Macaca fascicularis: one gene and its partners. The protein of the gene in region 4 purifies or fractionates together with the protein of the main gene of each other region. This does not show direct contact. Links are inferred from orthologs where the notes say so. Each region holds a gene or a part of one and is shown on either strand. Other genes may lie near its edges.

What was found.
Region 1: the proteins of NFKBIA (region 4) and RELB purify together in Homo sapiens (affinity purification with mass spectrometry; 4 studies listed by BioGRID and IntAct, counting the BioPlex papers as one, with this or other methods). This does not show direct contact. The link is inferred for Macaca fascicularis from reciprocal best matches to the Homo sapiens genes NFKBIA and RELB.
Region 2: the proteins of NFKBIA (region 4) and PSMA4 purify together in Homo sapiens (affinity purification with western blotting; 3 studies listed by BioGRID and IntAct, with this or other methods). This does not show direct contact. The link is inferred for Macaca fascicularis from reciprocal best matches to the Homo sapiens genes NFKBIA and PSMA4.
Region 3: the proteins of NFKBIA (region 4) and TRIM22 purify together in Homo sapiens (affinity purification with western blotting; 3 studies listed by BioGRID). This does not show direct contact. The link is inferred for Macaca fascicularis from reciprocal best matches to the Homo sapiens genes NFKBIA and TRIM22.
Region 5: the proteins of NFKBIA (region 4) and NFKB2 purify together in Homo sapiens (affinity purification with mass spectrometry; 6 studies listed by BioGRID and IntAct, counting the BioPlex papers as one, with this or other methods). This does not show direct contact. The link is inferred for Macaca fascicularis from reciprocal best matches to the Homo sapiens genes NFKBIA and NFKB2.
Region 6: the proteins of NFKBIA (region 4) and REL purify together in Homo sapiens (affinity purification with mass spectrometry; 6 studies listed by BioGRID and IntAct, counting the BioPlex papers as one, with this or other methods). This does not show direct contact. The link is inferred for Macaca fascicularis from reciprocal best matches to the Homo sapiens genes NFKBIA and REL.
Region 7: the proteins of NFKBIA (region 4) and VCP purify together in Homo sapiens (affinity purification with western blotting; 7 studies listed by BioGRID and IntAct, with this or other methods). This does not show direct contact. The link is inferred for Macaca fascicularis from reciprocal best matches to the Homo sapiens genes NFKBIA and VCP.

What each region holds. Positions count from the first base shown.
Region 1 is NC_088393.1:53,067,705-53,071,204, forward strand, and holds part of RELB (transcription factor RelB), read left to right. Parts: intron 1-2,503; coding exon 2,504-2,719; intron 2,720-3,500.
Region 2 is NC_088381.1:55,902,836-55,907,005, reverse strand, and holds the start of PSMA4 (proteasome subunit alpha type-4), read right to left. Parts: upstream 2,801-4,170; 5' UTR 2,682-2,800; intron 1,327-2,681; 5' UTR 1,304-1,326; coding exon 1,301-1,303; intron 1,055-1,300; coding exon 1,012-1,054; intron 747-1,011; coding exon 584-746; intron 1-583. UniProt on the Homo sapiens protein: Component of the 20S core proteasome complex involved in the proteolytic degradation of most intracellular proteins. This complex plays numerous essential roles within the cell by associating with different regulatory particles.
Region 3 is NC_088388.1:68,345,598-68,349,097, reverse strand, and holds part of TRIM22 (E3 ubiquitin-protein ligase TRIM22), read left to right. Parts: intron 1-2,903; 5' UTR 2,904-2,969; coding exon 2,970-3,392; intron 3,393-3,500. UniProt on the Homo sapiens protein: Interferon-induced E3 ubiquitin ligase that plays important roles in innate and adaptive immunity.
Region 4 is NC_088381.1:103,221,237-103,225,326, reverse strand, and holds the start of NFKBIA (NF-kappa-B inhibitor alpha), read left to right. Parts: upstream 1-1,290; 5' UTR 1,291-1,395; coding exon 1,396-1,622; intron 1,623-2,241; coding exon 2,242-2,350; intron 2,351-2,677; coding exon 2,678-2,888; intron 2,889-3,178; coding exon 3,179-3,267; intron 3,268-3,374; coding exon 3,375-3,644; intron 3,645-4,016; coding exon 4,017-4,064; 3' UTR 4,065-4,090. UniProt on the Homo sapiens protein: Inhibits the activity of dimeric NF-kappa-B/REL complexes by trapping REL (RELA/p65 and NFKB1/p50) dimers in the cytoplasm by masking their nuclear localization signals.
Region 5 is NC_088383.1:111,407,063-111,409,799, reverse strand, and holds part of NFKB2 (nuclear factor NF-kappa-B p100 subunit), read right to left. Parts: coding exon 2,601-2,737; intron 2,304-2,600; coding exon 2,199-2,303; intron 2,073-2,198; coding exon 1,987-2,072; intron 1,906-1,986; coding exon 1,767-1,905; intron 1,555-1,766; coding exon 1,429-1,554; intron 994-1,428; coding exon 784-993; intron 705-783; coding exon 563-704; intron 197-562; coding exon 82-196; intron 1-81. UniProt on the Homo sapiens protein: NF-kappa-B is a pleiotropic transcription factor present in almost all cell types and is the endpoint of a series of signal transduction events that are initiated by a vast array of stimuli related to many biological processes such as inflammation, immunity, differentiation, cell growth, tumorigenesis and apoptosis.
Region 6 is NC_088387.1:61,078,999-61,082,498, reverse strand, and holds part of REL (proto-oncogene c-Rel), read left to right. Parts: intron 1-845; coding exon 846-988; intron 989-3,500. UniProt on the Homo sapiens protein: Proto-oncogene that may play a role in differentiation and lymphopoiesis.
Region 7 is NC_088389.1:64,370,425-64,373,467, forward strand, and holds part of VCP (transitional endoplasmic reticulum ATPase), read left to right. Parts: intron 1-192; coding exon 193-326; intron 327-404; coding exon 405-540; intron 541-852; coding exon 853-965; intron 966-1,364; coding exon 1,365-1,529; intron 1,530-1,620; coding exon 1,621-1,743; intron 1,744-2,018; coding exon 2,019-2,231; intron 2,232-2,734; coding exon 2,735-3,043. UniProt on the Homo sapiens protein: Necessary for the fragmentation of Golgi stacks during mitosis and for their reassembly after mitosis. Involved in the formation of the transitional endoplasmic reticulum (tER).

The DNA of each region.
Region 1 (3,500 bases), on a different chromosome or scaffold from region 4:
TCTCAAAAACACACAAACAAAAAAACAAAAATAGCCAAGCGTGGTGGCATATGCCTATAATCCCAGCTACTTGGGAGGCTAAGGCAGGAGAATTGCTTGAACCCGGGAGGCCGAGATCGTGCCACTGCACTACAGCTTGGGCAACAAGAGTGAAACTCCATATCAAAACAAAACAAAACAAAACAAAAAAACCGGGCGCAGTGGCTCACGCCTGTAATCCCAGCACTTTGAGAGGCCGAGGCAGGCGGATCATGAGGTCAGGAGATCGGCCCATTCTGGCTAACACGGTGAAACCCTGTCTCTACTAAAAATACAAAACATTAGCCAGGCGTGGTGGCGGGCGCTTGTAGTCCCAGCTACTTGGGAGGCTGAAGCAAGAGAATGGTGTGAACCCAGGAGACAGAGCTTGCAGTGAGCTGAGATCGCGCCACTGCACTCCAGCCTGGGTGACAGGGTGAGACTCCGTCTCAAAAACAAGCAAACAAAGTGACTGGCACATAATAGGTGCTCAGTAGAAAGTTAGCTGCCACTATGATTCGTTTTTTTTTTTTTTTTGAGATGGAGTTTCGCTCTTGTTGCCCACGCTGGAGTGCAATGAAGAAATCTCAGCTCACTGCAACCTCTCCCTCCTTGATTCAAGTGATTCTCCTGCCTCAGCTTCCCAAGTAGCTGGGACTACAGGTGTGTGCTACCACACCTGGCTAATTTTTTTTTTTTTTTTTTGAGACGGAGTCTTACTCTGTCACCCAGGCTGGAGTACAGTGGTGTGATCTCAGCTCACTGAAACCTCTGCCTCCTGGGTTCAAGTGATTCTCCTGCCTCAGCCTCCTGAGTAGCTGGTATTACAGGTGCACACCACCACACTCGGCTAATTTTTGTATTTTTAGGAGACACAGGGTTTCACCATGTTGGTCAGCCTGGCCTTGAACTTCTGACCTCAGGTGATCCACCCTCCTAGGCCTCCCAATGTGCTGGGATTACAGGTGTGAGCCACCACGTCCAGCTTAATTTTGTATTTTTAGTAGAGATGGGGTTTTACCACGTTGGTCAGGCTAGTCTCGAACTGCTGACCTCAAGTGATCCACCGCCTTGGCCTTCCAAAACACCTGGATTATAGGCATGAGCCACCGTGCCTGGTGATTAGTTTTATTTTTAGGAATATTAGAGGCCAGGCATGGTGGCTCACTCCTGTTATCCCAGCACTGTGGGAGGCCAAAGTGGGAGGATTGCTTGTATCCAGGAGTTTGAGACCAGCCTGGGCAACATGGCAAAACCCCTTTTCTACAAAAAATACAAAAAAAAATCAGCCGGGTGTGGTGGTGCATGCCTGTAATCCTAGCTACTTGGGAGGCTGAGGTAGGAAGATCTCAAGGCCCAGAGGCAGAGGTTCCAGTGAACCAAGATCATGCCATTGCACTCCAGCCTGGGTAACAGAGCAATACCCTGTCTCAAAAAAACAAAAACAAAAACAAAAAAAAAAAACAAGGCCGGTCGCGGTGGCTCACGCCTGTAATCCCAGAACTTTGGGAGGCCGAGGTGGGTGGATCACCTAAGGTCAGGAGTTCGAGACCAGCCTGGCCAACATGGTGAAACCCCGTTTCTACTAAAAATACAAACAATTGGTGGGATGTGGTGGCTCACACCTGTAATCCCAGCACTTTGGGAGGCCAAGGCAGGTGGATCACGAGGTCAGGAGATAGCAACCATCCTGGCTAACATGGTGAAACCCTGTCTCTACTAAAAATACAAAAAATTAGCCTGGCATGGTGGCAGGCACCTGTAGTCCCAGCTACTCAGGAGGCTGAGGCGGGAGAATGAATGGTGTGAACCCCAGAGGCGGAGCCTGCAGTGAGCCGAGATCGCACCACTGCACTCCAACCTGGGCGACAGAGCGAGACTCCATCTCAAAAAAAAAAAAAAAAAAAAAATAGGCCAGGCGCGGTGGTTCAAGCCTGTAATCCCAGCACTTTGGGAGGCCGAGGCAGGTGGATCACGAGGTCAGGAGATCGAGACTATCCTGGCTAACATGGTGAAACCCCGTCTCTACTAAAAATACAAAAAACTAGCCGGGCGTGGTGGCGGGCGCCTGTAGTCTCAGCCACTTGGGAGGCTGAGGCCGGAGAATGGCGTGAACCCGGGAGGCGGAGCTTGCAGTGAGCCGAGATCACGCCACTGCACTCCAGCCTGGGAGACACAGCGAGACTCCGTCTCAAAAAAAAAAAAAAAAAAAAAAAAAAAAAAAATTAGCCAGGCATGGTGGCGGGCGCCTGTAATCCCAGCTACTCGGGAGGCTGAGGCAGGAGAATCTCTTGAACCTGGGAGGCAGAGGTTGCAGTGAGCCGAGATCACGCCATTGCACTCCAGCCTTGGCGACAGAGCAAGACTCTCAAAAAAAAAAAAAAAAAAAAAGAATATTAGTCTTGATTTTGGGGGAGGCTGGGCAAGTTGGGAGCACAGTGGCCCAGATGTCCTGGCTTAGCTGATGTCCCCCGTTTCCTGCCAGAGGACATATCAGTGGTGTTCAGCAGGGCCTCCTGGGAAGGTCGGGCTGACTTCTCCCAGGCGGACGTGCACCGCCAGATTGCCATTGTGTTCAAGACGCCGCCCTACGAGGACCTGGAGATTGTAGAGCCTGTGACAGTCAACGTCTTCCTGCAGCGGCTCACCGATGGGGTCTGCAGCGAGCCATTGCCTTTCACATACCTGCCTCGCGACCATGGTAACTACAGCAACCCAGGGTGACCCAACACCTCGGAGACTAGGTCTTCGGCCTTGGGGAGACCCCAGTGGGGAGGGGAAAGAGGCGGAACTAGAATGCAGGCTCAGAGCTACAAAGACGGTGTTCAGATCCCGGCTCTGCTGCTTACTGGCTGTGTGACCTTGGCCTCTCTGAGCCTCATTCTTCTGCGCAAAATGGAAATAATAGTAGCCGTCCTGTGACATTGGAGAGTATTTAATCTTTCCTCCCCTCAGCATCCTGCACATGCCTGGGCCTGTGCTCGGTATTGCTAGAGACACAGCAGTGACCAACAGAGCCCCTAGCTGTGTCCCCATGAGGCTTATAGTCCTGAGGATGGGGGACAGCCTGTCCCCACACAGTGATGACCAGAGTGGGCAGGACTGGAATAAAGTGCTCAAGGGCTCGCATTGCCCAAAGGGGGCACCTAACCTAGCTGTGGGCATCAGGGAAGGCTTCTTGGAGGAGGGGACAGCTGAGCTGATGACAGGAGGATGATTAAGCAGGAAGTTTTCTAGGGAAGTAGTGAGAGTTGAGGAAGAGTGTTTTAAACAGCTGGAACAGCAGGTGCAAAGGTCCTGAGACTGGATTGTGCCTGGGGTGCTCCAGGAACAACAAAGAGGCCAGTGTGTAGGCTGAGGCAGGTGGATCTCCTGAGGTCAGGAGTTCGAGACCACCCTGACCAACACGGCGAAACCCCGTCGCTACTAAAAATACAAAAATTAGCCGGGCGTGGTGGTGGGCGCCTGTAGTCCCAGCTACT
Region 2 (4,170 bases), about 47 Mb from region 4:
TCTCTACTTAGCATGGCCAGCTCTCCATGAGCTGCAAAGTTCTGCACATCTAAATATAACCAACATCTCACACCGTGTACAAGGCTTGGCTAAATTCTTCCCAGATCTCCAACAGGCTTGTTCTTTAGTAAGATTCAGTATAATTCAACAAAATCCTGCATAGCTATTCTAAACAATACTTTGAGGGCCTACTATATGCCTGACACTATACTATTTTATTTCATTCATTTTATTTCATTAAACTGCCACAACCACTTGAGGAGACTCTGAGGCCCAAAGAAATTAAATAATTTGTGCAAGATCACATAGCCTGCATGGGGGAAGCCTGGAGCTGAACCCAAATCAGTGTGACTACTATGTCTGTACTCTTACCACTACACAATGCTAGTTTCTCTACTAAGTGTTTGCCCTGCACTTAAAAGGAGTAACACATGGTACCAGGCCTCAAAGAGGTTTCAAGCAAAATAAAGGTACAACTTCAATCCTACCACATCACACAGAAGAGCCCTCCCAAATTACATAGATCCCACTTATGTGAGAAAGTGAGATTTTTTTTAAAACTCTTTCCTAAAATCTCACTTACTCATTGAGTTTATAAATTTTTTCAGAAAAAAAGACTTCATCGAGAAGCTTGTGGATGTTGCGTCTCTCTGCTGCAAGCAAAACACCATCATTTGCTAAAATTCCCAAACAGGTGCCTGCATGTCCAATAGCTTCCATGGCATATTCAACTTGGTATAAGCGACCTACAAAACAAAAGCAGTGAGAAGCCAAGACTCTCCTCTATGCTCTTGCACCACTGACCCAAAAGAAATTAGCAAGGAAGCAAGCTAGAAACAAATTCCCACTTTCACTCTTCTATGGTATAATCAACCCGGTGACCATAATTGCTTCGAAGTACAAAAAGGATGAACTTTGCAACTACCAAAAAAAGTTTGTAATTTTTTTTTTCTAAAAGTCTAACACATTTTTTTTTTAAACTTGAGGCAGATTAAACAATTTCTATTTTACCTTCTGGAGAAAATATAGTGGTCCTGGAGTCATATCTTCGAGACTGCAAAGGAAAAACACATGAGTGATTCCTACCCACTGAAAGTAGGCCAACTCCTGCAAGCCCACAAATCACCTTACAAAACCTATCCTGGTATACAAAGTTCAGCAGATGAGAGGAAACTGACAAGAAAAAAGGCACCATCTCACTGCTTTCCTTCTATTTCAATTTTCCCACACAAGTCTGTAAGCTGAGTACAAGCAATACTATTTATCAGGCAACAGTTTACTGGCACATGTATTAACTCACCATGTTTTCTGAACTTTATATAGTTCCTGTAAAAAGAAAATCAGATCATCATTAAAATAAGATTCACAAATTAAAAAGCATTTGCTGACTTTACAAATTAGTTTTATTTACTCCCTTTATTCAGCTAAGTGTCAGGCGTTATGCTAGATGCTGGAATACCAAAATGTGTAAAACCAATTCCTGTCCTGAAAAGCTAATACTGGCAGTTAGGTGAGAGAGGCAGTCATAGATTATAATGCAGAAAGAGGAACCGGGGGTAGAATGGGAAAAGGGATGATGAAAAAAATCCAGAAAGTATTTTTTGAGAAACCGATACAGAAAATGAAAGTAAATCAGAGACGGGAGAGGCAGAAATAAGGCTGAGAACTCCTGGGTCTAAGAGAAAGAACAGGGGAAGAAAGAAGGGAAGGGCACTCCAGACAGAGCAGAAAGTATGAACAAAGGGTACTGAGGCAGGATAGCTTAGTGGGCATGAGACAAACTGCTGATGTTTTTAAAAATACATAAATAAGAGCTAAGCGAGTATCCAAATCCCGCGGAGCCTTGAATGCCAAGTTAAGACACTTAGGCCTTCTCCAGAGAGTCCTGAACTTGGGGGTGGAGGCAGTTATCTTGGGCACCATCAGTACCATTCGTGCAAAAGGCAATACTGGGTGCTCAGTGTTATTTGGTAAAGCCTCAGTCCAAAGCCCACATTCCCAAATACTGGAATACAGGGAATCAAGACTGGAAAGGTAAGCTGGAATCAAATCCTGGAGAGCCCGCGTGCCCAGGTAAAAACAGAATTTTCTCTCTCAGCCACTGGGGCTCCTCGGAATGATTCCCAAGGCCCGCAAGAACTGATTAGCATTTTAAATGATCCCTCTGGCTCGTGAGAGACGGAGGGCAGCGAACTGGTTGAGGTAATAGGAAGGTGCAAAGTAAGGATGGCCCAGAGCAGAGAAACAGGTAGGACACAGAGAGACTCGCCGGGGATTTCTGATTCGAGCGTAAGCACAACTTTCTGTGGTCTCCACGCCTGACGCCGGTCACAGCACGATTTTGAGTTCACCGGCACCTCTGGGAGCGCTAACTTTCACGTACCGAACTCCCGGGGACGGAAGCCGCCCCGAGTCCTCGGTCCTGCCCACAGATCCCCACCCTCAGCTCGCCCCCTCGCCGGGCCCCGGCGTCCAGGCTCGGCACGGGGAAGCCTCCAACGGCGGCCGGAGGGGGCCATTCCCGGCGGCTGGTCTGTCACCGTGGAGGCGGTGCAGAGTCATCGTGCCCACGGCTCCTCGGCGGCAACTGCAGGCCGGGACCGACTGTCTTGACGTTCACTACCCCCGCCGAAGGGAAGAGCGGCCATGCTTCCGCGGGCCCCCAGGGGCCAAAGGCTCACCAGATGGAAGACCCTGAAGACTTCAGATGTCCACTGAGCCCTTATCTCCGCGGGAAAATAAACCACCAGGGCTGCCCGAATAACCGCTGCTAATATGGCCCCCGCGCTTGCGCAGAACCGCTAAGGGAGGGGGTAGTGGGATGGCCGAGGACACGGAAGTCCTCCTTGTGGGGCGGAGCTAGAACCCGTGGCCCTCGTGGGAGCTGGGGCGCTGCAGCAGGTGGAGGAGTTGCTGCGCCATGGGGAGGAGGGCAGGAAGACCGTAGCCAACCAGAAGGTGGAATAACTAATTTCCTTCTCTTACCCTTGGCGCTCTACTTTCACTTTCTCTTCACTATTCACACCTAGGATAGCAAATAGTGTGGACCGGCTTCTTAATTGCTACCATTCCTGTCCTGTTTCCCGAAATGGTTCCAATCACATGAGACTTTACCTCTGTAATCATCTCCCTTTTTCATTCTGGCTTTCACTTTTACTGCTGATGTATACATTTTGGACATTTACATTATGATGAGGAAGGCTGGGTGGCTCACGCCTGTAATCCCAGCACCAGCACTTTGGGAGGTCGAGGAGGGTGGATCACCTGAGGTCGGGAGTTCGGGACCAGCCTGGCCAACATGGTGAAACCACGTCTCTACTAAAACTACAAAAATTACCCGGGTGTGTGGTGCACGCCTGTAATCCCAGGAAGCTGAGGCATGAGAATCGCTTGAACTCAGGAAGCGGAGGTTGCAGTGAGCCAAGAGTGCACCACTTCACTCCAGCCTGGGCAACAGAGTGAGGCTCCGTCTCAAAAAAAAAAAAAAAAATGATGGTCGGGCATGGTGACTCACGCTTGTAATTCTACTGCTTTGGGAGGCTGCGGCAGGAGGATGGCTTGAGGCTAGGAGTTTGAGGCTGTAGTGAGCTGTGATCGCGCCACTGCACTCCAGCCTGGGTGACAGACAAAGACTCTGGCTCTAAAAATTAAAAAAAAATTATGGTCAGGTTCACACTTTTAGAATTTTCACTTGGTGTGTTTCTCTGCTTTTCACCAGTCAGAAAGGATTACCCTGACCAGCGTAGTTAAAACAATACCCTACTGTCAGCATATACTTGCACCATTTTATCTTCTTTACTGAAATTGTCATACTTGTTTATGTGTTCATTATCCATCTCTCCACCCTTTTGCTCATTCAGCCTCAGTCCCTATGTAAACTATCTACTATTCATTTCAGGTTTTTTCAGGCTAGAAGGTTGACTAGATCTGGGTTCATATGAAGTCATCTGCTCAGTCTCTCCCAAAAAGCAACCCATTGGGCAGAAACTCTGTCCTCTTCATGTTGGTTGCAAAATAATTGGGGGATGTGGGCTTTGAAAAGGAGATGGCTTGGAAGTTGCATTTTGGGGTCTCACCTATCATCTCTGCTTTCCAAGCACACAGGGAAGTGAGCCAAGGCAAGATGGCAAAGAGTCACACACAGGTGGTGCTCTGAAAGCATCCTCAGGT
Region 3 (3,500 bases), on a different chromosome or scaffold from region 4:
CACTGCAACCTCTGCCTCCCGGGTTCAAGCGATTCTCCTGCCTCAGCCTCCCAATTAGCTGGGACTACAGGCAACTGCCATCACACCTGACTAATTTTTGTATTTTTTTTTTTTTAGTAGATACAGGGTCTCACCATATTAGCCAGGCTGATCTCAAACTCCTGACCTCAGGTAATCTGCCTGCCTCAGCCTCCCAAAGTGCTGGGATTATAGGTTTGAGCTCCAGCGCCTGACCATTTTTTTTTTTAAATCTAAATTGTACACATACGGAAAGCTTCTGTGCAGGTAATCAGAGTATTCTGAAATAAGGAAGTTATGGACCTAGTTAGCCTTCACCGTGTCATAAAAACTCCTACATTTGTACCACCTTCAAAGGGGAGCATGCATTTTGTTTATGTGTCTATCTGTTTACCTGTCTTAGGTTGGAAGGGTTTCAATGGGGCTACATTTCTTCAATGTTAGAATAAAGAATGAATAAATCAAGAAAAATAAGCACTTGTATTAGTTTTCTAGAGCTGTCGTAGAAAAAGTACCAAAAGTGGTTGGCTTAAATAGCAGAAATATATTGCCTTACAATTCTGGAGACTAGTTATCCAAGATAAAATGTGTTGGCAGGGCTGGCTCCTTCTGAAGGCTATGAAGGAGGCATCTGCTCCATGCCTCTCTTCCAGCTTCTAATAGTTTCCTGGAAACCTTTAGCATTCCTTGGCTTATAGGTGCATCACCTTGATCTCTGCTTTCTTCTTCACCCTAGCATATTCCTTGTGTGTAAATGTCCCTTTTTAGTAAGGATACAGTCATGTTGGATAAGGGTCTATCCTAATGAGCACATGGTAACTAAATAGTATTTAAATATACTATCTGCAAATAAAAGGACATTCACACATTAGGATTCCAGCATCATTTGGGGAGAAACAGGACAGACCTTATCCCTCCGCTACATATTCTCAATATACTTGGCCTCCTTTATGGATAGAGACTTTTCTCCCACGACCAACAGATGTTTCTTTAAAAAGTATATTCATTGAGTCTATGTCACGTGTGTGATCCTGTAACTATTTTAGCCTCTTTTCGTCTTCCCTAAAGATATACACCTTTAGGTTCCTATCACCATCCTCGCCTTATGTCCAGGCCACGGTGAAATTTCAACATTTAAAACCACAGCATGCCCTAGAACTACATAGCTGGTCTGAATCTCTCCATTTCTATACCCCCATAGCACTGGGTATCAGTATAACTGTTGTAACCTTTACCTTTGTTGTCTGTTTAAATCTGTGCAGTAGTGGAGAGAACTCTGAAGGAGGACCTTGGAGACCAATACATTCACTCTTACTCTACCGATTAGATTAGAATGAGTGATCTTTGTAAGTTACTTAATTCTATTGACACACCTGAAGAAAGGGAGTATTCTTCTTTCTCAAGGGTTTTGTATGAAGAATAAAGAAGTCAAAATTATTTCCAAATTGTAACTGGTTATAAAATTCTTTATGATAAAATTATTTTCTTATTGTGATGGTGGCGGTGGTGGTGGTTGCAGTGGTGTGTGGGTGTGTGTGTATGTCTTTGAGGAGTGAGTGTGAGGTCATGGGAGGACTTGCTATGGGTAGATGTGTTAGGATGTGAACTCTTCTTCACTGGAAACCATAATCATGGTCCCAAAGCTCAGCTATTGGGAAACTGCTAATTGATGGAAAGAAAAGATGAAAATCTGATTCAAAGGTCTAATCATCTATGGAGGGAGAGGAAAGTTGTAGCTTTAAATATTCATTCAACATTTTATTCCTGTATGTGATTCGCTCTTCTATGTATAGAGGACATATCAGTGAACAAAAACAGTCCCATGTCTATGAATGGATTACTTTTCAGGAGGAAGAAGTAGACATTTAAAGAACAATCTTATATATTACATAGTAAAAATAAGAAGATAAATGTGCAGTGAGTGATATTACTGGTGGTTTTGCTATAAGTAAGTTATAGTATGTCCTTCTAAGAAGAGGACATCTAAGAGATTGAATTAAATTTAAGAATGACTCTTGCTAACATCAGGGGAAGGATCATTTTATGGAGAGAGAGGAGCAAGTGCAAAAGCCTTGAGGAGTCATAGATTTGATAGTTTAATTGAGGAGGTGTTTTTTACATGTGGAAAAAGCAGAGGAGATAAACCTTAACAGTATAAATAAAATAATTCAGATACCAAAGACCATATATTATGATTCTATTTTTATCAATTGATTAAAAATCCAAAGGATATTAGTGATTGTCTGGAGCTTGGGATCAGAATAGGAGTAACGGCATTAGGGTTTGTTTTTTTTTTTTTTTTTTTCAGGTGGTAAAAATAATTTTAAATTGTGTTACAGTAACAGTCATATAGTTCCACAAATTTAGTTGAAATTATCACATTATACACTTAAAAATGAGAGTGTATGATGCTATGTAAATACAACTCAGTAGCTTAAAAATACACAAATATTAGTGAATCATGCAAATATTAGAGATACAATCACGTCATCCAGAGAGAAAAGCATGTGCAAAAGCCCAGGGGCAGTGGTGTGCTTAGTGCATTTAACATGGAAAATGTGTTTTGGGTTGGGGAACAAAAGGCAGGATAAATGATGGGTTACACGAACCTCTTGGTAGAAAAGCTTCAGTTTGTCCTCTCCAGTAGAAGAGAAAATAACAATAATTGCCTTGATGGGGTGAAATTTGTCCTGAGACAAAAATTAAGAATAAAGTGTTTCAAATTACTACAAAGTCCATTTTATTCTGTCATTGGTTTATTCTTCTTGCCTTTCTTTTCTCCTTTCTCTGTTAAATATTAATTTTTGGTCCTGTTCTAAATCTCTGTAAAAGCAGTATTCTTTCTATTCCCGCTTTTCTTACCCTGTCCCCTTCAACATTTCCAGCACTGCAGGATTTTCTGACCAAGAAGTTCAAGAGTCAAGACAGAAAGAAGCCAAGGGAGCAGTGCAATGGATTTCTCAGTAAAGGTAGACATAGAGAAGGAGGTGACCTGCCCCATCTGCCTGGAGCTCCTAACAGAACCTCTGAGCCTAGATTGTGGCCACAGCTTCTGCCAAGCCTGCATCACTGCAAAGATCAAGGAGTCAGTGACCATCTCAAGAGGAGAAAGCAGCTGTCCTGTGTGTCAGAGCAGATTCCAGCCTGGGAAGCTCCGACCTAATCGGCATCTGGCCAACATAGTTGAGAGAGTCAAGGAGGTCAAGATGAGCCCACAGGAGGGGCAGAAGAGAGACATCTGTGAGCACCATGGAAAAAAACTCCAGATCTTCTGTAAGGAAGATGGAAAAGTCATTTGCTGGGTTTGTGAACTGTCTCAGGAACACCAAGGTCACCAAACATTCCGCATAAACGAGGTGGTCAAGGAATGTCAGGTAGGCTCCAAGGTAGAGGAAGAGAAAGCAGAGAGCAGAAATGGTACCTGATGTGAAATCTCCACGTTTTTTGTCCTGCTTTATTCCCCTTTTCACCATAGAACTGAG
Region 4 (4,090 bases):
AGATGAATTCAGTCCATGGCTTGCAGGCTTGGAGGTGGAGGTGGGATGGAGAGCATAAATTACATTTCTGCAGGTGAAATCAGAGCATAGTGAGCCAAAACCCCTTTCTACCTGGGTGGCATGAATGGGTCCAACTGCTACTATCCCCCAGGACGAGGGAGCAAGGCGGGGTGGGCAGGATGGGAGGATGGGGCTGCCTTGAGCCTCCTGCAGGATGACTGGCAACTACTTTCTTAGCGGTCCTTAAGGTCCAATCGCGGTTAAGGCACTAACTAAACTCATTCTTCAGCCTCCTTCTCTAAGTGCTCCTCGAATTGCTCAGTTTAGATGCCCAGAAGTAGGCTCAGGATCCATTCTCTGCGGCAGCACAATGTAGGTCAGATAGCATGAATGCAACAGCTACTTATGAACACAATAGCTACTCTGTTATTGCAAGGTATCCACAACCACCACTACAAAGATTAACACCTTGCTTTACTTGGGGGAAAAAAAAAAAATCATGGTCCTATTCAGCAGTTTCCCCATACAGGGAGAGTTTGCCCCTCCCCCACTCAACAAGGCTGTTCATCCCTAGGAAGTGATTGGAAGTGATTTGAGAGTTTTCCAAGGATTTAGGCTTTCCACTCCTCCAAAGCTTTCACAGTTCTACCTGGCAGAGGTGCGTGGGGGGTAGGGGAGGAAGGGCGCGAAGCTAAACGTCCCCGTGCTGCAATGAGCCTGATATTAGCAGAAACACAAGAGCAGCCTGCAGCCCCATAACCACAGTGCGTCCTTCCCCTTAGAAGTCTGGGGAAAGCAAATCCCTACGCCCAGCCATCATTTCCACTCTTGCGTTTTCAAAAGATCAAAAAACGGAAAGGACCGGCAGGTTGGCAAACCCCAAAGAGGGACCGCCCATCAGGTCGGCGTCCTTGGGATCTCAGCCGCCGACGACCCCAATTCAAATCGATCGTGGGAAACCCCAGGGAAAGAAGGTTCACTTGCAGAGAGACAGGATTACAGGGTGCAGGCTGCAGGGAAGTACCGCGGGGAAGGGGGCCTGGTCGGAAGGACTTTCCAGCCACTTGGCACTCATCAAAAAGTTCCCTGTCCGTGACCCCAGTGGCTCATCGCAGGGAGTTTCTCCGACGAACCCCAGCTCAGGGTTTAGGCTTCTTTTTCCCCCTAGCAAAGGACGAAGCCAGTTCTCTTTTCTGGTCTGACTGGCTTGGAAATTCCCCGCGCCTGACCCCGCCCCAGAGAAATCCCCAGCCAGCGTTTATAGGGCGCCGCGGCGGCGCTGCAGAGCCCACACCAGCCCGTGCCGCCGTCCCGCCCGCCAGCGCCCCAGCGAGGAAGCAGCGCGCAGCCCGCGGCCCAGCGCACCCGCAGCAGCGCCCGCAGCTCGCCCGCGCCATGTTCCAGGCGGCCGAGCGCCCCCAGGAGTGGGCCATGGAGGGTCCCCGCGACGGGCTGAAGAAGGAACGACTGCTGGACGACCGCCACGACAGCGGTCTGGACTCCATGAAGGATGAGGAGTACGAGCAGATGGTCAAGGAGCTGCAGGAGATCCGCCTCGAGCCGCAGGAGGTGCCGCGCGGCGCGGAGCCCTGGAAGCAGCAGCTCACCGAGGACGGGGACTCGTAAGTGGCGCAGACCCGGAGCCGGGGGTCCTCGGGAGGGCCGGATGCGCGCGGCCGGGGAGTGGGAGGCGCCGGGCCTGGAGCCCGAGCTGGGGAACTAGCGATGCAGCCGGGCTGGCGCCGCGGCGCCCCGGGGCTCCTGCACCGCCCCGAACGCTGCAGGGCTGCAGGGCCGCGCGGGGCACCGGCCCGACTCGGAGGGGCGGCGGCTGGGCCCTGGTGGACGGCAGCGTCGCCACACGCCCCCTCCCCCCAGGCCTGTCCTCTAGGCCGGGGGCGGGGCGGCAGCTGGGACGCGAAGTCCCCGGTTGCATAAGGCGGGGCGGGAGTTTCTGGCCGCTGGCGGGCGCCGAGCAGCCGGGAGGGGAAGTACAGGGCGTTCCGAGCTGGCGGGAGGGCGGGGCGGTCTGGCCGGCGCCCGCCGGGGCCGCGGGGGGAGGGGGGCGGAAAGTCCCTGGGCGCCTGCCAGGAACACTCAGCTCATAATAACCTCGCGGAAAACACCGCGGCCTCGGCCTCCAGAAACCCCGGCCTTGCGCAATCCCCCGCAGCCCGCGCCTCCCTGGGCCCCACGCGGTGCACTCACCACCCCTGGGGTTTTTCCCTCTCTTCCCCACAGGTTTCTGCACTTGGCCATCATCCATGAAGAAAAGGCACTGACCATGGAAGTGATCCGCCAGGTGAAGGGAGACCTGGCCTTCCTCAACTTCCAGAACAACCTGCAGCAGGTGCGCCGCTTGCCTGGCCCGGGCTCTCTAACTCTGGGATGGAACTGATGTAGCAAAGTCACCCCAGATCCTTTCTGAATTCAGGGCCACAGGGCATTATTCACCCTCACCTTTTACTTCACGTCAGCCCACATCCTAGAGAGTGAAGGAAATTCCACTGATTTGGTGAGGTCTTTGTGACCCACCTGGAGTCTCTGCTATTTGCCAGTCCTCCCCACCCGCCTGTCTAGGAGGAGCAGCACCCAACCAGGAGACACGGGTTCAGGGGAACTCAGGGTGTGGGTTTGGTCCCTGGCTTACTTTCTCTGGTCTCTCCTGCATTCGTAGACTCCACTCCACTTGGCTGTGATCACCAACCAGCCAGAAATTGCTGAGGCACTTCTGGGAGCTGGCTGTGATCCTGAGCTCCGAGACTTTCGAGGAAATACCCCCCTACACCTTGCCTGTGAGCAGGGCTGCTTGGCCAGCGTGGGAGTCCTGACTCAGTCCTGCACCACCCCGCACCTCCACTCCATCCTGAAGGCTACCAACTACAATGGTATGTCTGCCTCCCTGCCCTGCCCCACCCCCTCAGGTGGCAGGTGATGTGGAGAAGGGGCAGGTGGGCCAACTTAAGGAGTCGAGGCAAGAACTTAAACTGCCAGCATTTGAAAGGTTGAGAAAATATGTGTGCAAAGTGCCTGTTGGATGCCTTTATAAAGTTCTTTCAGAACCCAAACGGTGGGTTCTTAAAATTCAGAAGATATGACTATTTGTCCCATAAAAGAATAGGTGAAAGGAGTGAGGGTTGAAACAGGTGGTTATACTTTTTTCGTTTTGTTCTTCCAGGCCACACGTGTCTGCACTTAGCCTCTATCCATGGCTACCTGGGCATTGTGGAGCTTTTGGTGTCCTTGGGTGCTGATGTCAATGCTCAGGTTAGTGCTTCCTGCCTCCGATGCACTGAGTCAAGTTCCTCGTGCTCATGTTGTGAGCAGAAATTCCAAACGCAGCCATAAGCATCTCAAATTCCTTTTGGTTTCAGGAGCCCTGTAACGGCCGGACTGCCCTTCACCTCGCAGTGGACCTGCAGAATCCTGACCTGGTGTCGCTCCTGTTGAAGTGTGGGGCTGATGTCAACAGAGTTACCTACCAGGGCTATTCTCCCTACCAGCTCACCTGGGGCCGCCCAAGCACCCGGATACAGCAGCAGCTGGGCCAGCTGACACTGGAAAACCTTCAGATGCTGCCGGAGAGTGAGGATGAGGAGAGCTATGACACAGAGTCAGAGTTCACGGAGTTCACGGAGGATGAGGTGAGTCTGTGAACTCCTTGGGCTCTCTAACTAATGAGGGACCATTCCCTTCACCCTCCCGGGCCCCTAGAACTGCTCCTTATCAGAGGGGTATCTACATAATGAGTCTCTCAAATTTCTGTGCATAACCAGTATCCCAATAATGTACCTTTTTTTTTTTTTTTTAAATAGCTTACCCTTTTTTAAAGAAAAGCATTTTTTAAAACATTTTTAAAATGGGAGTTAAAGGCAAACTCCCTCAGCCTGTAAAGTTCATTGTATTTGGGCTATGGAGAATGGAGTCCAAGGGTTATTTCCAGTAGCGGCCTCCCCATCCCAGTGGCTTGGCAGAGCTTCGGAAGTTTAATGTGTCTTCTTTCCCCTTGTTTTCAGCTGCCCTATGACGACTGTGTGTTTGGAGGCCAGCGTCTGACATTATGAGCGCAAAGGGGCTGAAAGAACATGGA
Region 5 (2,737 bases), on a different chromosome or scaffold from region 4:
GGGGATGAAAGCAGGGTGAGCCAGGCCCGAGACCCACCTGCCTTCCAACCCCTCCCACCTCCCCAGTAGGCGCCCCCGCACCTGGTGCAGGTGGTTGGTGAGGTTGACGACGCCGAGGTCCTGGGCGTGGTGGATGACATAGGCTATCTGCTCAATGACACTGGTCTGCCCATGGATGATGGCCAGGTGCAGCGGTCTGGGGGTTGGGGAGCGAGAGTCTGGCCCAGCCACTCAGAGCATCCTTCGCTCTCAAAGCCCCACCGCCCTCATAGACTCCCTCGCTGGGGCCCGTGGAACCCAGCACGTGGCCCAGGGCATCGCTGTGCCTGCACTTAACGTTTCCTAGCACCTTTTGAGGTAGGTAAGTGCTATAACTGTACCCCTTGCACGGTCGACAAAACTGAAATTTGGAGAGACCAAGCATCTTGAACAGAGCTGGTGAACAAAGAGGCCGGACTTGAAGCCTGGTGTGTCCGAAAACTGCAGAGCCCGGCTCTGTGCCGGTCCCTTTCCTGCCCCCACCCGACCCCGCGCCGCGTCCGCCAGGCCCTCTGTTGCCTACGTGTCTCCGTTCTCGTCCTGCGCCGTCAGCAGGTGGCGCTGTCCCGCCAGCAGCGCGCGCGCGTCCGCGGTGACGCCGTAGTCGAGTAGGGCCCGGGCGCTGCGCTGCGCCAGGCAGAACAGTCGCGCGTTGTACTCTCGGGCTGGGGGCGACAGAGGGCGTGGGTCAGAGCTGGGTCCTCAGCCCCAGCGCCCCGACCGTCCGTGCCCTGGAGGCCATACCTCGCTGCAGCATCTCCGGGGCCTGCGGCTCGCACTGGGGGGCCCTGGAGGGGGCGCTCGGCTCCGCGGCTTCCTCTCCGGAGTCCCTGCCGGGCACCGAGGCGGCCATCTGCGCCCCGCCCCCGCCTCCCGGGTAGCAGCCCATGGGGCCCGCGCCGGACTGGTAGGGGCTGTAGGCCAGGGAGGAGGGGAAGAAACCGAGGCTGCCACCTGTGGGTACAGGCAGGGCTGTGGGAAACGGGCACCAGCCAGGACTCTCCCAGTTTTGGTTTTTTTTTTTTTTTTTTTTTTTTTGAGATGGAGTTTTGCTCTTATTGCCCAGCCTGGAGTGCAGTGGTGCGATCTCGGCTCACTGCAACCTCTGTCTCCCGGGTTCAAGCGATTCTCCAGCCTCAGCTTCCCGAGTAGCTGGGATTACAGGCGCCTGCCACCATGCCCAGCTAATTTTTGTATTTTTAGTAAAGATGAGGTTTCACCCTGTTGGCCAGGCTGGTCTCGAACTCCTGATCTCAGGTAATCCGCTTGCCTTGGCCTCCCAAAGTACTGGGATTACAGGCGTGAGCCACCACGCCTGGCCTCTCCCTGTTTTTTTTTCCTCCACAGCTTCTCTTGCCTTTACCCCTCCCTCCATCAGCACCCCCTCACCTCCTCCAGCTCCTCCATAGCCCCCCGCTGCACCTCCAGAGCCTCCACCCATGTGGGAGCCACCCCCGAAGGGCTGGGAGAAGGTGGGCAAGGCCTTCCTCCGCTTCCGCTGCACCTCTTCCTTGTCTGGGGGCAGAGGAAAATGAGATTGAGCCCAATTATTGTGTCATGCCTCAGGGGCCCTTCCCAGAAGAGCCCTCAGGCTGGCTCCTAGGAAGCACCTCCTCAGACCCTCCACACTCCTGACTTGGCTCATGCATCCCCACATCTAGCTCTTGGGACCTTCTAGCCCAGCCTGGCCCCCCACCATCCCCCTGGGGTCCTCAGCCCAGCTCCACCTTCCACCAGAGGGTAATAGGTGAACTGTTTGGAATCAGACACATCCCCTCCTCGCTTGCGTTTCAGTTGCAGGAACACTGTTACGGGCCGCTCAATCTTCATCTTGTGATAGGGGGGTGTCCGGAACACAATGGCATACTGGGGGGTGCAGGGAGACACAGGGTGTCAGTGAGTCCTTAGCCTAATTTAGCCCCCAGCCTGGGCCCTAGCCCTGGATACCTGTTTATGCACATCTGTGGGAGAGAAGTCCCCAAAGGCCTGCCATCCATTCTCATCATCCTCATAGAACCGAACCTCAATGTCATCTACAAGGAAAACGGAAGCTTGGCCGCAGCTCCCGGTGGAATCTCCGGGGCCATTTATCCTAGAGCTTCCCTGGCCCCAGTCTTATATTCGATGTCCTTGGCGCCCAGCCTGGGCTCCAGTCTCACCTTTCTGCACCTTGTCACAAAGCAGATAAACTTCATCACCACCCCGCACAGAGCCTGCTGTCTTGTCCATTCGAGAAATCTTCAGGTTTGATGCCCCCGGAGACTCTATGGGGTGGGATATGGATTAGCTGAGATGATGCAATAGCCATGGCCACATTTAAGGAGCTTGGTGCTCTGTATTCCTTATCTTAGCAACCCCTGGAGCTGCAGGAACCACCCAATATTCGCATTTACTAAAGATAGAAGCTTCAGGGGGAGGAAATGACTTGCTCAGGATCACTCAGCATCTATGTGGCAGGGCCAGGTTCTGAAACCTGGGCCTGTTTGACTCCACAGCTTAAGGTCACCCCTCGTGCCACCTCTGCCACCAGGCCTGGCACCCCAGGTAGTCAGGATACTCACTGCTGTCATGGATGGGCTGGGAAATGACTGGCTTCAGGGGCAGGGAGAAGGAGCCATCACTGGCTCTAAGGAAGGCAGAGAAGCGCAGCCGCACTATACTCAGATCCATCACCTTCTTCAGTTCTTTGGCCTCCTGC
Region 6 (3,500 bases), on a different chromosome or scaffold from region 4:
TGTTCATTGTATGTTACTTTACATATCCTAGAGTTTCATATAAATGGAATCATGCAGTATGTGCTCTTCTGGTCTAACTTCTTTCACTCAGCATAATGATTTTGAGAGTCATCATGTTATTATATGTATCAGCAATTCATTCTGCAGATGCTTATTTTGAATTTTAGTTATTATAGAAAGTAAATAATTTTTTTTCTCTGTTGTATCTTTAGAAAAGGTTTACATGGGACTGGTGACACATTCTTTGAGCCTAAAGTCCCTCCTGGGGCTTGTTTTGATATACTATGTGTAAGTCCTTTAACATTTGAATGGAGATAGAAAAAACTTACATATGCTTCTGCAGGGATTTAAATGCATTTTCATTTTCAGTGAATGGTCTTTTCATTCAGTATTATGAATATGATGTAAAATCAAGCAGTTAAATACATTTAACTCACTTTAGGAGTGTAATATTTTACTTCTGAGTACTATCTTCTTTACCCTTCTTGGGGAATCTTGGGGGAAACCCTTCTGCTAGGTCTCACGTGGGAGGTGGATATCTCTGAAGTGGTTATCTCAGAAGTTCATATTGATGTTAGCTATAGATATTAAGCTATAAAGTGCTAACCAATCAATATGGTTTGAATGACTTGTTTTGACACTACATAGGGACTCAATCTGAATGGGAAAAAAAGGTGCCTCTCCCAGCCAATCTCCAAGATAACATTTCAACCTTGTTATTTAATGTTAGGAGGAAAAAAAAATCTTTATTTTAGTCTGCTGTTATGAAAAAACAGACGTGTTAAAATCCATTATTAATTGCTATATTAATCTCACTCACCTCCTCCTTTTAAAAAACTTTTCAGGTGCGTATAACCCGTATATAGAGATAATTGAACAACCCAGGCAGAGGGGAATGCGTTTTAGATACAAATGTGAAGGGCGATCAGCGGGCAGCATTCCAGGGGAGCACAGCACAGACAACAACCGAACATACCCTTCTATCCAGGTAATAGACCCTTCTTCTATGTCTATCTCGCTATTAGTTGCTTCATATATTAGCTATAGCAATTATTTTAAAGGGACAGTTTCTTAACAATCATCTCCACAGTTTTGTCTTTTTCTTTTTTCCTTTTTTCTTTTTCTTTTTCTTTTTCTTTTTCCTTTTCCTCATAATGTTTAGTCGCTCTACTTAGGTTAATACACAGCACCATATAGCTATCTGCAGTGGGGATAGTTGGCAGCTTTTGGATCATGTTCTTTTTCATGGAACACAAAGATAATAAGGAAAACCCATTCTCTACAGAGGTGGGTGATACTCTTCTGTAGATTAAACATAGGTTTGATAACTCAATCATAATTCTTCTTGGCTAGTCTTAGGGCTAGAACATTTTTTTGTCCTTTTTCTTACCTTTGTTGCTTGTCTCTGATTCTCTGGGTCATTGACTGATTTGAAATACCACTTTATAAATGTAGTTTTCTCACATTAGCATAAATTTTTAAAAGCTTTTGACTAAAAATGACTTTGGTAAACATACTAATAGTTATAAGATGTACTAAATTTATTTATTTATTTTTGAAATGGAGTTTCGTGCTTGTTTCCCAGGCTGGAGTGCAATGTCACAATCTTGGCTCACTGCAACCTCCACCTCCTGGGTTCAAGTGATTCTCCTGCCTCAGCCTACCGAGTAGCTGGGATTACAGGTGCCCACCACCACGCCCAGCTGATTTTTGTATTTTTTAGTAGAGGCAAGGTTTCACCATGTTGGCCAGGCTGATCTCGAACTCCTGACCTCAGGTGATCCACCTGTCTCGGCCTCCCAAAGCGTTGGGATTACAGGCATGAGCCACCGCGCACAGCCAAGATGTACTAAATTTATTTACTTATTATATATTTATTTATTTTTTTTTGAGACGGAGTCTCACTCTTTTGCCCAGGCTGTAGTGCAGTGTCACAATCTCTGCTCACTGCAAGCTCCACCTCCCGGGTTCACGCCATTCTCCTGCCTCAGCCTCCCGAGTAGCTGGGACTACAGGTGCCCACCACCACTGGTGCCTGGCTAATTTTTTTGCATTTTTAGTAGAAATGGGGTTTCACCATGTTAGCCAGGATAGGATGGTCTTGATCTCCTGACCTCGTGATCCACCCACCTCAGCCTCCCAAAGTGCTGGGATTACAGGTGTGAGCCACCACGCCCGGCCTATTTTTTATTTTTTTGAGACAGAGTTTCACTCTGTCGCCCAGGCTGGAGGGCAATGGCATGATCTTGGCTCACTGCAACCTCCGCCTCCCAGGTTCAAGTGATTCTCCTGTCTCAGCCTTCTGAGTAGCTGGGACTACAGGCGTGTGCCACCACACCCAGCTAATTTTTGTATTTTTAGTAGAGACGGGGTTTCACCGTGTTAGCCAGGATGGTCTCAATCTCCTGACCTCATGATCCGCTCGCCTCGGTCTCCCAAAGTGCTGGGATTACAGGCGTGAGCCACTGCACCCAGCCCAATGTACTAAATTTATATTTTCTATTTGTAAACTGTTTTTCATTTGAGTTTCAGTGAAGGGTTTATCCTTTAAATGCCAATTAAAAACTTGAATGGTAAAGTAGATTTTGAAGTGTTACTTTTTTTTTTTATTTGAAAAGTGTTACTTTTATCAACAGATCTTAATTCATTGTTTTATAACTAGATTATTTACAAAGTCTATTCTGTTGATGAACTTAAAGGGAATTGCTAAGTTATAGAATAAATCAGTGGCAAAATTATATATTGAATTCCAGATTTCTATTTTTATCACATTTTTGGCAGTAGTATGGATTTGGGTTATCTAAGTCTTTTAAATGTTAAAATGGGTGAGATGCTAATAAAAAGGAACTAAGGAGCCGGGCGCGGTGGCTCAAGCCTGTAATCCCAGCACTTTGGGAGGCCGAGGCGGGTGGATCACGAGGTCAGGAGATCGAGACCATCCTGGCTAACACAGTGAAACCCCGTCTCTACTAAAAAATACAAAAAACTAGCCGGGCGAGGTGGCGGGCGCCTGTAGTCCCAGCTACTCGGGAGGCTGAGGCAGGAGAATGGCGTGAACCCGGGAGGCGGAGCTTGCAGTGAGCCGAGATCCGGCCACTGCATTCCAGCCTGGGCGACAGAGCGAGACTCCGTCTCCAGAAAAAAAAAAATTTAAAAAAAAGGAACTAAGGAAATACTCTTTGGCCAGTTTTTTGAGTCATTTTTAAAGTTTTCTTCATAATTCGTCTTATCCTATGCATCTCTAAAATATTTCTAAGATCTGTATTTTTACTATTCCAGTAGGTCCTAAACACTTTACAGCTTGAGTTGTGTATTTGCCTACTTATAGTCTTGAGCAATTACCTTTACTTTCATACAGAAAGAAATGTAATACTTCCTGGTTACTTTCAAATTCTAATTCAAAATTATGGATTTTAGTTTCCTCTACCTCGTAAGCTAGCCATTCTTACTTTACCTTGCTCCTTTGTGGTATGCTGGTTTTTATATTCCCCGCTTTGTTC
Region 7 (3,043 bases), on a different chromosome or scaffold from region 4:
CTGGGCTTCTCTCCAGCCTTGCCTGGTGGCTGTCCTGGGATAATGGCTGGTAGAGGATCTGAGAAGTAGGCATAGGTTACCACCTTCTCACCCAGGACCTGTCTCTGGGCCAAACAAGCAAGATAACTGATTTTTGGGGGCAATTGGGAAAGACTGTCATTTTGTTATTGCCTCCATTCTGTATCCTTTCAGGTCCTGAGATCATGAGCAAATTGGCTGGTGAGTCTGAGAGCAACCTTCGTAAAGCCTTCGAGGAGGCTGAGAAGAATGCTCCTGCCATCATCTTCATTGATGAGCTGGATGCCATCGCTCCCAAAAGAGAGAAAGTAGGAGCTTACCTGAGGGGATAGTGGGGGGTTGAAAGGCCCTGACTTCACTTCTGACCAGACATCCTGTTCTGGCAGACTCATGGTGAGGTGGAGCGGCGCATCGTATCACAGTTGTTGACCCTCATGGATGGCCTAAAGCAGAGAGCACATGTGATTGTCATGGCAGCAACCAACAGACCCAACAGCATTGACCCAGCTCTACGGCGATTTGGTAAGGACTCCAGATACTTTTGACCATGTCCTTGCTTAGGTCCTACCTCTCTCCTTCATCTAAGTCACCTAATCCTCTTGAAGCCCTTCACAGTGATTGGATCTGGGTTTCTTTTTCCTTTATCCTACGTCCTGTCTAGAGTGACCATCCACCCTGGTTTTCCTGAGACTGAAAGGTTTCCCAGGGTTGAGACTTTTTCATTGCTAACATTAGGACAATCCTGTGCTAGCTGAGATGGTTGGTCACCCTAGGCCTGTCTCTTACCTCTGGACTAGAAACGAGCCCTGTCTATGTTCATGCACTGTCCCACAGGTCGCTTTGACAGGGAGGTAGATATTGGAATTCCTGATGCTACGGGACGCTTAGAGATTCTTCAGATCCATACCAAGAACATGAAGCTGGCAGATGATGTGGACCTGGAACAGGTGAAGTGATGATGAGGGCTGACCAGGCGTTACAATATCTTTAGGCAGTTGCTGGGAACTGGCTAGAGACATAAGGTTTTGATGTGAGGAGATGGGTTTTTATTTCTGGACAGGGGAAAGGAGGTAATCTGAGATTAAATCCAGGAAATTGGAGTTGGCATTTTTCTCACTTGACGCTGCATTTAGAGTAAATCAGAATTGTTGGAGCAGCTTTATTTCTAGGTCCTGAGTCCAGGATTAAGTACTTAAAACCCAGCCCATAAAGGTTTTGCTAGTATATGTATTCAAGGAAATTAGAGGACGCAGGGATAGCAGTCAGGGGAAGCATTCTATTATCTCTGAGCTTCCTGCGGCAGCTGGGTCTTTGAGGCAGCACAGTAAATAGATCTTTCTCTGCAGGTAGCCAATGAGACTCACGGGCATGTGGGTGCTGACTTAGCAGCCCTGTGCTCAGAGGCTGCTCTGCAAGCCATCCGCAAGAAGATGGATCTCATTGACCTAGAGGATGAGACCATTGATGCCGAGGTCATGAACTCCTTAGCAGTTACTATGGATGACTTCCGGGTAAGGACCACACCCCTGCCTCAGGTACACACATATGTGCTTTGACCCCTCTCCTGGTAAGTCTCATCCCCAGTTTTCCCTCCTTTTCTAGTGGGCCTTGAGCCAGAGTAACCCATCAGCACTGCGGGAAACCGTGGTAGAGGTGCCACAGGTAACCTGGGAAGACATCGGGGGCCTAGAGGATGTCAAACGTGAGCTTCAGGAGCTGGTCCAGGTAGGGTAACTTGGTCCAGGGTGAGTCACTGCCTCAGTACATTGTAATTGACCTTGGTGATCTTAGGGTGTCAACACGTTTGCTGCAAGAGATGTGAGAGCACGACTTAGGAACCTATTTTTCTTAGATTTGAGGCACTAAGGAGTCTGCTTCTAGAGAACCTGGATCTGATACCATTGGGTACACCATGAAGTAATGGAGGGCATGCTTCTGTTTAGTTAGGTTTCTTTCACAAGGTGGAGGTAACCTTGAACCCTCTTTCCTTTTCCTCCTAGTATCCTGTGGAACACCCAGACAAATTCCTGAAGTTTGGCATGACACCTTCCAAGGGAGTTCTGTTCTATGGACCTCCTGGCTGTGGGAAAACTTTGTTGGCCAAAGCCATTGCTAATGAATGCCAGGCCAACTTCATCTCCATCAAAGGTCCTGAGCTGCTCACCATGTGGTTTGGGGAGTCTGAGGCCAATGTCAGAGAAATCTTTGACAAGGTGAGCTACAATAGGCTGAGCTATCTATTGATTTGCCTGGGGACAAGGAATAGAAGCTGTTTTTCTTTAAGACGGTTGAAACATTCTTATTACTGGCTGCTCAACTGGACAGCAAGTCACTTGATTTTCTGAGGTGTGAGAGAGCTGTTTTTTTTGTTTTTTTTGTTTTTCTTAAATTGAGACAGGGTCTGGCTCTGTTGTCCAGGCTGGAGGGCAGTGGTATAGTCATAGTTCACAGTAACCTTGAAACCTGGGCTTAAGCCATTCTACTGCAGACTCCTGAGTAGCTGGGACTACAGGCATGCGTCACCACATCTGGCTAATTTTTTATTTTTTGTAGAGATGAAGTTTCAGTATGTTGCCCATGCTGGTTTTGGATTTCTGGCCTCAAGTGATCCTCCCACCTTGGCCTTCCAAAGTGCTGGGAATACAGGTGTGAGCCACCACGTTTGGCCGAGAGATCTAGTTTTGTTAATGCTTGAATCAATCCATTCCTCCTACAGGCCCGCCAAGCTGCTCCATGTGTGCTATTCTTTGATGAGCTGGATTCAATTGCCAAGGCTCGTGGAGGTAACATTGGAGATGGTGGTGGGGCTGCTGACCGAGTCATCAACCAGATCCTGACAGAAATGGATGGCATGTCCACAAAAAAAAATGTGTTCATCATTGGCGCTACCAACCGGCCTGACATCATTGATCCTGCCATCCTCAGACCTGGCCGTCTTGATCAGCTCATCTACATCCCACTTCCTGATGAGAAGTCACGTGTTGCCATCCTCAAGGCTAACCTGCGCAAGTCCCCAGTTGCCAAG